3 linked regions of the Drosophila melanogaster genome follow. The protein of the gene in region 3 interacts with the protein of the main gene of each other region in a pairwise test. Each region holds a gene or a part of one and is shown on either strand. Other genes may lie near its edges.

The links. Proteins that work in one complex are often made in the same cells at the same time.
Region 1: the proteins of CG31775 (region 3) and Elovl7 interact in a two-hybrid assay, tested with the Drosophila melanogaster proteins (one large-scale study listed by BioGRID).
Region 2: the proteins of CG31775 (region 3) and Dpm3 interact in a two-hybrid assay, tested with the Drosophila melanogaster proteins (one large-scale study listed by BioGRID).

Annotation. Positions count from the first base shown.
Region 1 is NT_033777.3:7,992,203-7,997,671, forward strand, and holds the start of Elovl7 (ELOVL fatty acid elongase 7), read right to left. Parts: upstream 3,651-5,469; 5' UTR 3,221-3,650; coding exon 3,218-3,220; intron 1-3,217. UniProt on the Drosophila melanogaster protein: Catalyzes the first and rate-limiting reaction of the four reactions that constitute the long-chain fatty acids elongation cycle.
Region 2 is NT_033777.3:13,401,409-13,404,740, forward strand, and holds Dpm3 (Dolichyl-phosphate mannosyltransferase subunit 3), read right to left. Parts: upstream 1,644-3,332; 5' UTR 1,581-1,643; coding exon 1,431-1,580; intron 1,363-1,430; coding exon 1,228-1,362; 3' UTR 1,151-1,227; downstream 1-1,150. Other genes in the region: GILT1 (Gamma-interferon-inducible lysosomal thiol reductase 1), read right to left, coding at 271-342; yellow-e3, read right to left, coding at 2,040-2,527, 2,593-2,986, 3,051-3,332.
Region 3 is NT_033779.5:14,736,103-14,740,442, forward strand, and holds CG31775 (uncharacterized protein), read right to left. Parts: upstream 1,668-4,340; 5' UTR 1,629-1,667; coding exon 1,617-1,628; intron 1,550-1,616; coding exon 1,292-1,549; 3' UTR 988-1,291; downstream 1-987. Other genes in the region: CG31835 (uncharacterized protein), read left to right, coding at 1-898; CG42585 (uncharacterized protein), read left to right, coding at 3,920-4,340.

The DNA.
Region 1 (5,469 bases), on a different chromosome or scaffold from region 3:
TGGGCGTGTTTCGTCATCTGAATGATTTGATTATGCAAATAAAGTATTGAATAGATTTAATTTTCCACATTATTCACTAACTATTTAGGTCAGTCAGAAATATGGTAATATGAAGAAGTTTCAATAGGTTTTGGAAAATTCGAAACCTTTGAGCATTTTTATTTTTTGGTTAATAAGATTATATGATTACCAATTTCTTTCAGTGCAAAGCAGTTTTTGCAGCAACTAAAAACTCAGCCAGTAGTCAAGTGCACAGCTGCAAATACTCAACAGGTTGGCTAAATGTGCGTAAGTGTAAGTGAGTTCCCCAAATACCATTTGAAAGCCTCAATTCGGGGGATATATTTTAGCTGATTCATTCTACATTGCGTTTGTCAGGCCGCCAATGTTGATTTTTTCGTGAACGTTTATGTTAGACGATTGCATTAAAAATGGTTCCATACCATTTGGATTCAGGCATTCAGGCATAATATGCAATTCGAATTGGGAATGTCGAACTTTGGTTTTCGTCCCTGCTGCCATTTCCCAGCCTAAAGTTCTCTGCCCCCAAGCCCGTAAATCACTAGCCACACAATTAAACAAGCAATGACTTTTAGCTCCTCAATCACTTTACATTCGCGTATTTATCAGGTTGTTTCTGTCCACTAATTTAAATTTTGCTTTAGCCCCACAATGTTGATGTTGATTTAATTATTTTGTGTTCGGATTAAATGTGTCGAAAATATATTACTGCAAATGCGTTCGTTGCTTTAAAATGGAATTTATTTGTAATTTATTGTTGTACGACAAGGAAATTATTTAGAAAATATTATTAAACATTTTTAAAATACTTAAAAACAAAATCGAACAACTTTAGCACCTAAGTCCCATCTAAATTCGCACTAATGGAAATATGTTTAATCACGAATTCGGTATGACAGCATGGCCCACTAAATAATTTAATTTATACAAATAAATTCATCCAACCGACCCAGTTTAAAGCGACAAATATGTATAAATTAATTGTTTTTTCGGGAACGAAGAGTTTGTATAAAATTGCAAAAAAAAAAAGGCACTCAAAGAGCTGTAAAATATGCAAGCCAGCGTGTTTGAATAATAATTTAAAAGCTGTTATTTTTAGTGTTTTTAACACCTTTACTGGCATAACTTTTCTGTCTAATCTCCAACGAGCAATAATTGAATTTCAAATGACACTTACTTCAATCACGGGCCGATAAGAGTCCATAAATGTAATCATTTTCAGGTACTCTCCGTTTAATGGTCTCTTTACGTTTATCTACCTCGAATTCCTCTCTTCGCTTGCGTTATCAGTTTTTAAGTGTTAATTTGCTCGGGAATATACACAGCCAGTAAAAAAATTGCTGAGAGACACGCACTTTTTTTATGTAGAACAATAAACCTTTGCCCAAATGGCATATTCGCAATTGAAGTGAACGAAGACTAGCTAGCTACTGAGAAAATCGCGCATACGCCGTGTGGAGCCAAACAAATCGAAATGGAGCAGCGAATGCACTGCGATTTCAGTCACATGCGGCAAGCGTTATCTCACACACACACACACACACACACACACACACACTAAGTACTAAGAGGGCACTCTGCCTATGGTTTTGTGTTTACTATATGCTCTCTACATGATTCTCTTACCAAAAAACAGCTGAGTGCCGAGCGGCAGTCAACAATAAAGCGACGTCAATGCGTCTGAGACTGGCTCTCCAATGTAGCTAACTGGCCCACAGGGAATGCAAGCAAATCGGCTGATTAAGGCACATTTTTTTTTATTATGATCACTTGGCGGGGGCTGCGCAGTTTGGCAGCTGGGTGGCAGTGGCTCTGGCTCCAACAAGCAGCCTCAAACAACCCAGACCCGATAGCCCATAGCCGCCCATAGCCAACTGGCAACTAGTAAAATTCGCCGCCAGCGCCTTTGCACTTTTCAGTGTCAAAAGAGGCAACACAAAAATGCGGCAAAAGTCCCAGTCGAAAATAAAATCGAGGTGTAATAATCATTGTGTAAGAGGCCAAAAGGAGAAGAAAACAACTCGAAGATTTGAATAAGTTTCGATTTCTGGGTTGCCTGCTTATTTTTTTTTTTCTTTTTTTTTTTTTTTTGTGAAATGGTGCAATGCCAGTGATCATTAGCCAGCGGTAGTAGCGGCGGCGATTGGTTAACCCACTGGGGTTTTTTCTCTCGAATTTGCAGAGCTGCTGAATGAATATGAAAATCACTGGATTTCTACACAGCAGCAGCATCTGCAATGATGGGCCGAAAGCATAAGTAAGGTGGACGGGACAAATGAGTCGGCCTGGCCCTGACTGGCTATCATTTCACCTGCGCTCCGATCGCCAGTTATCCCATATCCCCGGCCGAGATTCAAGGTCAGCGATGCACTGCATTTCCGTGTGAAATGTTGTCATGCCAGTGAGCTGGTGAGCTGGTGAGCTGGTGAGCTGGTGAGCTGGTGGGCTAGTGAGCTGGTCAAAGCCAAAAGCCAGCCTTCACTTCACTTGACCGCCAGCCAGTGATGTTGCTGGTGTAAGTGCTGCTGCTGCAACTGCGGACATAACACAGCGACAGCTTCGAAATAAGTGCAGCACTTGCAGTTTCTGTATGCACTTTTGGCGGAGCTCGAAAGCGAATGGCTCTAGCAAAACAGAACAGAGCAAAACGCTCATGTTTTGTGGCAGAAAGCGGGGGAAAAGTGGGCGAAAAGCGTGGAAAGGTCTGCGCGGAGTCGGCAAAAATGCATTTGGGAAAAAACAGTGGAAAACCTTGCTAGCGAATGTGTACTTGAAAACGAAAACCAGTTGCTGGCGTGCGGTTTTTTTCCATTTCCAAAGAAAACGAATAAGAACCAGGAATGGCTGGTGCTCGAGAGGTTTTCTCGATTAATAATTTGCTCAATTAATTTTAACGGCTGCATTGCGGATATTCATTATAGGAGCTTTATTTATTTTTTTTTTTATTATTAATTTCTTGCTTAATAGCAGCAGCAGCACACACGAGTCGTGTGCAAAGGGTCATTTGTGGGTTGTGGGATTTAACGGAAAGCCCAAGTCAACGTACGATCATGTATATTTATTTATTCAGGCTTGCATGTTGGGGGTCGGCATCGAAATTACTGGTTGCAAAGGCATTTTAATAAAGGAGGTTTCAGTGGCATCAATTTTCCGTTGAGTCACACTGGGTGTTCGGTCGGGAACCCCCGCTACTTACCATTGTGCTAAAATTCGCTTCAACAGGTACTAAATGCGCGTTTATATTCCGTTTGTTACAAGGAAGCGTACTGTATTTATTTATTTTTTCTTTTTTTTTTTTTTGACTAATTTACAGAGATTCTCTCGACTTTGGTATACGAATTATCACTTTTTAGCGCACTATCCTTGTTCGTTTCGTTTCGTTTTTTTTTTTCGTTTTTCTTGCTTGTAGGTTTTTAGTTATTGTTTTACACACGCACACACTGTTTGACCATCGTTATACGGTTTTATGGTTTCTACATCACTGTTGCGGGGAACTGCTGCTGATGCTACTGCTGATGCGACCGATCTGCCGCTGCTGCTGCTCCGCTGGACTTTACTGGACAACAACTGGACAGCGACTGGGCGAGCGTGCGCTTTTTACATTCAAATCAAAAACACTGAAATAAGTTTGATTTCACGCTGCCGCTTTACTTTTATACCGCCTCGCAGTCGTAGGAGCGGACTTGGCGCAGACGTCGACGCAGATCGTCGGCGCCGCCGACCGCTCATTTTCGGCGAGCGTGGCGATGGCGCTGGCGTTGAGGTGAGCCGAAGTCGAAAGCTTCGGTCGCTAGCCACAGGTTCTGAGCAACAGGTTGTCGATGTGTGCTCTCGCTCTGACAGCCGAAGCGATCGGGTCGGGCGTCAGGATGCCAGAGCGAGAGCGAGATCGGCCAGCGGCCCTTTGGAATCGAATTCTTGGTATCCACCAGTGGGGGTATCACCCGCCTTTGCACCCACACCCAAGTGCGGCGCTAATTGCCGCCAATCCAAATATCGGAGCGGTACTTTTGCCGCGTCTTGGCAGCGCGCATGATTGCACAGTTCAAAGTTCGGCAAGAATGTCCGTTAATTAACCCCTGCCCAGGCCCGGCCCTTCATATCGGAAAAGTGTGCAAAAATTAACGTAGCCACAAATCAAATCAAATCAAATCAAATCACGGCGAGGGAGAGCGGCGGAAAGGTTGCCAGCAACAAAGCCCAATCTTTGGATACGTATGCGGTAAAAAGCAGAAGAAGATGGGGCTGACCAAACCAGTTTGCCTCTTGGGCTCTTAAATATTTATAATGACCAATACTTGGCTTTCCTCCGTTTGCCTTCGTGATGGCCAATAAATGGCCAAAATGCGCCGTGAACTTCTGAAACATACAAATTCCCGAATGGGAAAAGCGGCTACCGAGACCTGGATGTTGCAGGCAACCTGGCGGATACTTAATATTTCGGAGGACCCGACGCTTACTTGTTATTTGTGCAAGCTTGAAACGTTACGTAGTCGATTTTTGTGAGCTAAGCAATTAGATCGAACTTTGACAGCGGCTTGGTTGACGATTTACTTACCCTCAATTAACGACCCTTCAACTACCTTTATTCTAATTTACCTGCTAAAAATCTCACCATTACCCTGCACTTTTGATGCGTTTTTCGACAAAAAACCCAAGCAATGCAACAAAGCAAACATTTGCATTTTTCGTCTCAAAGTCCGCTGCATGGCCGCCGAGCACAAGATCTTTTTGCGGAATTCTAACCGAATAACACGTAACTGACCATGTAATCTAGCCGCGCCAAATTTACATGTGCAAACAGTCGGCGGGGGAGACGATGAATATGTATAGACATGTCGCCCTAAGCTGATCCCATCTCACAGATCCGAAACACGCGTCTGCCATATTGGGGGAAGTATGAATACGATCGATTCAAGGGCTTTCTAGTGGCTGTATGACTAGAGGAAAAGCTCACGATGAATTGACCATGCTAGATCAGAATGATCCTCCTTATATGGACAGAGATGGCAGGTAATATTTCCGCTTGCTCTGAAATTTTCCATTTGATCATCAGAATTTAGACTGCGACTGTACTCACCAGACATGGATATGTTTTTCCCAGTTAGAATGCACTTCACTAGTCCTTTAACTAATGCCGCGCACGACAATATATTGTAACACAAGTTTTAGGTGCCGGCAAGCCACGCCTAGTTGTAAAATTTATGTGAACAAAAAATCAAAATAAATAAGCACTTTATACCCAGAGATTCAACCTTGAGCATTTGCAGAAAATTTACATACAAATCGAAATGTTAAAGCAATCTGAAAAATATTCATAATCTAATTAAATTCATTAACGAAAGTGCACCAGTTCACCATTTGAGTTCAGTGTGTTAATTTCTCAATGCGATTGCATAATCGCAAAGTTGAAGGAACTTGGCCGCGACTTCCGATCGATTTGATATA
Region 2 (3,332 bases), on a different chromosome or scaffold from region 3:
CGACGTGTGGCACAGTTCGTTAAACTCTCGAAATGCCACTTGTTGCTGCCACGAAAAGGGTGCAGCTCTTTTATGGATTTTTTTATTTTGCATTTTTGTATTCCTATACCCCCACTATTTAGTTATTCGACTTAATCACGTCTTCACCTAAATGGTAAAAGCAATTCGGAGTGCCCCTGACACGCTTGGCTGTTGTGTAATGGCTTAGTTGGCCCCGTTGGCTGATTTTTCGCTAGTTTGGCGAAGGGTTTTTCCGAGCCGGAAACTCACCTTAGCGGCACTATAAGCCGTGGCAATCAGGCAGCTCATCAAGAGGCACACAGCGGCGATTTTGTGACTCATCTTCAGGCTTCTCGTTCTTCAGAATTTCTTATAAATGCAGTTATATAGCCAGCACGTAACGAACGGCGGTCGTGTTGTTAGCGGTTCGGTGGCTGAGCGCGAACTGTTGATTGTTGTAGAGAGCTTGACGCTTAAACCGCCGTTCCAGTTCCAGTCGGCCATTAGAAAGCCGATTTCCAGACTGCCCAACCATGAGTAAATAAATGTACTATCTTTTTTATCATCAACTATGTATTATCTTCTTGAAATTTATTTCTATTTTCAAACTATTGTCCGCCATTAAAAAAAAAATTACACAAATTAACTTCAAATGGCTATTAATCGGTTTATATTGGATCTTTTGAGTATCACAACATTCAGCTTCGCAATTATAACTCCTTCCAGTATTTTGCAGAAGAGAAAATTAAAGTTTTGAAACAGTATATTTTTTTCTCTTTCGCATTGTAATTAAGAGAATTTTAAAAAAATTGATTTATTGGAAATAGATAGCCAAAGCATGGATTTGCAATATATGGTTCGCACTTACGAGTTTTCCATATACCATGTTCATTAAGTAAAAATATGTTTTCCGTAAAGAATATTATTAATCTCTTTAAACGTATTTTACCTCATATACTTTTTTAGTTTTCTTATATTTTTTATTTTGAGTAATTCACAGGGGAGCTAAGCCAATTAAACATAAACATATTCCATACTTTTTCAAGCATATCCTTTCAAAACCTCAACATAATTTGGCCACCAAACTTCCGACACCTGGGGAAATCAGCCCCCAACAACGCGTCCGCCCACACAAAATGCGGTCTAGAGTAAATTTGCGTAATTTTTGTTTTTATAAATAATGGAATTACAGATTAACATGCACAAGTCCTACGAGCTGGAAGTCTCCTAATCTCGAAACCGAAATCCCTTGGCTATCAAATCCTTGCGAGCCTCCTGAATTTCATCCTGCAGCTCCTTGGCGGCCTCGGGACAATCGTTAAAAGTCAGAGTTCTATATAGAACAGTCCAAACGGAATATATCTGTGGGTAATATATAGTAGTAGTCAATAAGAGGTGTTATCTGCATTGATTCATATCCAAAAACTCACTCCAAAAATCACGAGGAGCAAAAGTGGTAAAAGCTGAATGTGCAGGAAATACTTGGTAGTTAGTGGCGTTTGCACTGTTCCCAAAACAACGGAGAGATAGGGAATCGCAAAGAGCGATGCGTAAAATAGCCAGCGTTGTAGATTTGTCATAGCTAACGAAATTTATTGGTAAACAAAACTAAACCGAAAATAAAGTTCTACACGTAAACATAGAGCTGGAACTTAAGCCGATGGTCACCCGGTAATTCGATATCGATATTTACCGGCTACTATCGATAGGAGGTTTACCTATTCAAATCTAGTTAGAGGTTTTCCTATTCATGTCTAGTTGGAGATTTTCTAATTAGTAATTCGTAGCCTGACGGCTTCCAGTTAGACATTGTTTACTTTTCTAATTGGCTAACTTAAGTGTGACCAAGCCCTAAGCACGTGCCATAGCACAAAGCTATCCACAGTCAGCAAATCAAATGCCATACTACTCAGCTAAACACAGTCAGCAATTTATCGATAGATCAAAGTTGCGCCATAACAGCCAGCCTTCTACAGCCAGCAATTTAAATCAGAGTAATCGATTGACGCAGTTTCAAACTTGTTAAAACTAAGTTTTAATTAAACGTTGGTGGGCGTGGTTTCTGCGGCGCCCACTGTACACGGCGTGTTGGCAAGCAGGTCAGCGGTTCGGCAGCCAATTATTTGGAACTTGACCTCGTTCGCGGGCAAGTCGCCGCCAACAAAGAGTTTCGGCTGGCTGCTCAAGGCCCACAGCTCCTCCTCTCCCTTGGAATTCCTGTTGATCTTGAGGCCCGTGACGAACTTGATCTTGTGCGGATTGTAGGCCACCACACGCAGGTCATCCGCCGTGTAGTTGGACACGGACTCCTCCCATTTCACCAGCGCCCCTAAACTGATGAGGCTGCAGTAGAGATTCCCCGACTGATCCATCACCTCCGATTCGCACTGGATTCCTCGGGTGCCCAGGCTGTGGAAGCTATCCCTGCTGGCATTCGCAGACTTCCAGAAGGTCTCGTTGTTGATCAGGGAGAGCGGAACCCTCATCTCATTAAAGGAGTTCAGCGTGTGAAAGTACAGAAAGCGGTCTGTAAATTTGCATTGGAAATTATAAATAATTTTTGAGTATTTAGAATTTAAATTGAATAGCTACCTTCCACTTCGCTGGGACTGAGGCTCACTGTAAATATTCCCGCCTGCGAGTTGCTGGAGCGTCCTAATCTCAGCAAGGGCGACGGCTTCATGGACTCATGCTCTATGCGCCAGGATCGTCCCGTCAGGGAGTCAAACACGATTAGACCATAACCCCAGGCATCGGCTATATACGCTCTGCCGCCAACACATCGGTTGGGTGTGCCCCTCTCGGCCAGATCCACCACCAAAGCCGTGAAGATGGATACGCTGGGAATGTAGGAATCGGGCGGAAGTGCGTGTCGTTGGACTAGTTCGTCCTTCACCAAATCAAATGTGAGAATTTGTGGCGGGCACAACTGCAGGGAGTTTACCTGCCCTGAATCCACCACCCAGAGTCGCCAGCACTCGTCGATCTGGGAGAAAACGATAAATATTCATGAAATATCTTCTGTTGGGAAAATATGCTTTATTACTTACATAAGTCCTAATGGCTGAGGTGATGCCGGAGCAATTGTTGGGTGGCACGTGCCACTCCTCGTTGGGATACGGTTCCAGTCTGGGATTCTCCACCAGCTCATTGTGCTCCGCAATGACGGTGGCCAGTGTGAAGGGTGTGGCCATCCCCAGTCGCGGAATCGTGAGAAAGGTGCGATGCCTGCCCTCATCGCCGTACTCAATGTCCACATCCACCGGCAGAAAGCGATTGCCCTTGGACAGATCGTCGCCCAAACTGAGGTTCGTCCACTGATGCAGGGTGTG
Region 3 (4,340 bases):
GCAATTGTTCCCTGACTCGGACGATCTGGTTCCGCTGCTTTACGGCGAAATCCCAGAGCTGGTCCACCTGTCCAATTGCTTCACCTGTCCACATTGCGGCCTACTTGCGCTCACAGCGAAGCGGTTCATCGAACATGTTTACGTTCAACATCGGGTGTCCAATGAATATGTGGTCTGCCCCATGTGCGCCGGACTGTCGGCCGCCGAACTGGTGGCCATACGCCACCTTTCCAAACATCTCCTGCACAACCACATCGATCACGCCAATTACCTAGAGCCCGACACACCGCCACTACGCCGAATATTTACCCGTAATCACATGCGCCACCACCGCCAATCGCAGTTGCAAACAACTCCGAATTCAAGGATATTCGATATATCCGTATGGCTGTCAACTGGACGTGTGAGCTCCGATCCCCAGCTCCTAAGCAACAATGATCCTCCAGAGGAGGCAGCCAATTCAGAGTCCCTGGCGTTAGGCTTGAGTTCCGGGGGGCCATTCGAACACGACGACGACAGATATGTTCTACTTCAGTGGATTGCACAGCAAAAAGTGCAGTGCCACGATACGGACGAATCTCAAAGGCTGCGGCGAACCCTCTTCGTTGAGCACTTGCTGATTTCCATGCTGTGCTGCGAGGAGTTGCAGTTGCCGGATGGAGACAGACGAATACGGGAAGGAAATGGGGAGAGTGATCTAGACCAGGAAAACCATAGCAGTCTGGTCAAGGTCATGTCAGTGATGTCACTGCCGTGGACAGGAGTTTGGCAGACCAACCAGCTAGACGGATCGGAGGGGGAAGGCGAGATACGGGCAGCCAAAAAAGATGGAGTCGATCTGGACAAGGTGCAGATCGAGGAGCACAAAAGGGTGGCTGCTGAGGAGGCCATTGATTAGGATACTCGAAATTGTATCTGTTTTTTCAATCATGTTGAATCCGCTTTTTAGTTGCGTTACATATTTCAAAGAAAAACAAAATTTTTGTGAAAATTTGGCTTATATTTATAATATGGCTTTTATATTTTGGCTTTTATTTATATTTACAATGTTTTAAGTAAAACCATTTGAACATCTGAAAGAGAAGATATTTCCCGTTGTCCCTTATGTTAAGTGTATTTATTTCTGGGCACTATTTAATAAATATAAATGAATAATAAATATAAATTTATTTTCATAAAACTCATAAATTTTCGAGAACGATAAAGTAAAAAATTCCAATTGTTTTTTTATCATAAAGGTGTCATATTTTTATTGAGGTATCTGCGTTAAGACGGTGCTATGAATTGGTTTTTACCAGCCTTGTTGCTGTTGCTGCTGCTGATCACCGAATCCACCTCCGAATCCACCTCCAAATCCTCCTTGCTGCTGCTGCTGCTGATCACCGAATCCACCTCCGAATCCACCGCCAAATCCTCCTTGCTGCTGCTGCTGATCACCAAATCCACCTCCAAATCCTCCTTGCTGCTGCTGCTGCTGATCACCGAATCCACCGCCGAATCCAAACTGAGGTAGGGCAGCGGCCGCGGCGAATAGGGCAATGAAGAGGATCTGTAACAATATTAAAATCAACTTAGTTCTTAAAGGTTTTTCTTTGAAGCGTATATGTAAAACGTACCAAAAACTTCATGGTGCTGATACTTCGGTTAGTCTTGCTAATGTGAATAAAATTTTTGGACGCCTCCGATCTTTTATACTCTCCTGCAATCTCATCATGTCGTCACGCGCCGAAGTATTATCAATGTTCTGACAAAATCAAGTACAATTAACCCAACAAAAATACGAAAAAAATTTCCAGACGTCTGGGAAATTAATATTTGAGCACTGTATCAATGCCTATGCTCAACGGGGGGAACCCTTCAACATCAATCTTATCTGGGAAGTCGAGCCTAATCTAATAAGTCCGCAACAGTTGCTAAGAAAAACTAAGGGCGACTTAGAAGAAGACGTTGTTTGAGATTACTTTAGATCATTTATGTTCCGTTTTCACGCATCACAAACGTGTTACGGCAACAAATGTTCTTGTTTGCTTTTCTGGGTTATCATTAGACTTTCGAAATGAGGAGGGATAATTAAGTATGAAATCCTTGTAATCATGGATTAATTTTTTATACATACGTATAATTATGTTATGTCTTTGAATTTTAGCGCTTAACAGGTTAGACCACTATAGTCGCATTCCTCGATTATCAGATACCCATTTCTTAGCTAATAGAAGAACTAAGATATTTACAAGACAAGACTAGATGAAATCAATGAAGAATCTAGAGTGTTGTTGGCACAGGTTCTGAAAGAATTGGAACTATTTAGAGGTCTGAATCTCATTCAGTTCATACAGACAGGCTTACAGACAGATGGCCAAACGAATACGGCTAGATAGACTCCGCTGGTGATGCTGGTGAAGAATATATATATTCTGTATAGGTAAAGGTTCGGCAACGCCTTCTTCGAACTCCCACAGACTTTTTAAAGAATTTGGTATACTCAATTACTCCACAAGTACCGTCTATAAAAACATAGAAATTATGTGTCTTAAAAAATTGTATTTATTAAACTAATAAGACTAGTTTATTTCTTTACATCCTTTTTTTTAAAGAAATATTATTTGTATTTTTTTTCGCTGTGTTTGGTTACATTCAAAAACATTTAAAATTTTCCAAACCAATTGTACTTTTTTTGAGAGCAAATTCAGCCTAAAAGAATACTGTTAAGCTTGTGAATTTAAATGCAGCGCTAAAAAGTCTTCGCCGTTTCTTATACTTTTTTTTTAGTGGCAATTGAAAAGCTTTTAATCGGTATATAGCTAATCAGCTCCAAAATAAGCAAAACAAATTAACAAGAAGAAAGATCAGGCTAAAGGTCCTCAACCCCTGATCAGAAATCAGCTCTGTTAATGCAGTGCTAGAATTTTGCTACCTCATCGCAGACGCTTAATCTAATAATCACAGCTTGGGGTATATAGATTTCGATAGGAAATAATAAGCAAAAAATAAGAAAATTTTGTTTTTATTACTTTGTTTTGGTGCAAATCGCTCCATTCGGCTTCCACCTGCTATATGTTTATTAAACATCTTATTTTTAAGAGTGTACTGAATCCACCACAATGGTCGCCGAAAGGGGGTGGTGCAAGGGCGGAGGTGCATGAAGCCGGAAAACTTCTATTACAACTGCCGCGCACCAAGTCGGGAAAATTAAAAAGAAGAGAGCGAGATGGAGATTCAAACCGAGACAGAGACAGAAGAGTAACTAATGGCACAACAGCCACATTTAGAACCGATGTGTTCAACGCAATACCTACTAAAATAGCAATTTTTGTGGATTTTTTGGGTTTTGAATTTTATGTGTACACACACTGAAGCTGTATTACATTTGGACATATGTATAATTATAAATTCAAGCTAAATTTTCAGCTCAAGGGAAGTTTAATTTTCGATAACTGCATTCTGATTTGAGCAAATATAAAATATCCTTTGAGTTATCTTCTACTGTCAAAAGATTTAGATAAAAGATTTAGTTCCTTATCAATAATGGGGGCTTATTTCTCGTTTCATATAGGTTTGGAAAACAAATTGCATTATCGTTATTTGTCACGTAGATAGCTGTGCTCACCGGACAAAATAGTACAGTGCATGTTTATTTAACTTTTTTTTCGCTGTACTTAAGGTTCCAAAAATAAACATTTGTTTAAAAGAGGCAAAGGAAATATGTAGAAAGCTTGAGTAAGTTTGATACATTTAGGTTGAAAAATAGTTTTAAAAGTAGAATTATATGTTATTACCAAACGCCCCGAAATATTTTACATCTATGAAAATCATGTCATTGTATAGATTCGATTTGTTAAAATTTAGAACCCTTTTGCCCGTTTTTTCGACCAGAGTTTAGGTATATTCGCTAAGAACGAAGTTAGCACAAGGATCGAGGATGGGTCACCGCAACATTTGCTGCAACGGCTGTCAAATGACGATCTTCCAGGGTAGCCGCTTCCGGTGTTTGCGCTGCGTGAACTATAACCTATGTGACATATGCTACGATCATCAGATAGAAACGGAAGAGCATCGCGCCAATCATCCCATGCAATTGTTCCCTGACTCGGACGATCTGGTTCCGCTGCTTTACGGCGAAATCCCAGAGCTGGTCCACCTGTCCAATTGCTTCACCTGTCCACATTGCGGCCTACTTGCGCTCACAGCGAAGCGGTTCATCGAACATGTTTACGTTCAACATCGGGTGTCCAATGAATATGTGGTCTGCCCCATGTGCGCCGGACTGTCGGCCGCCGAACTGGTGGCCATACGCCACCTTTCCAAACATCTCCTGCACAACCACATCGATCACGCCAATT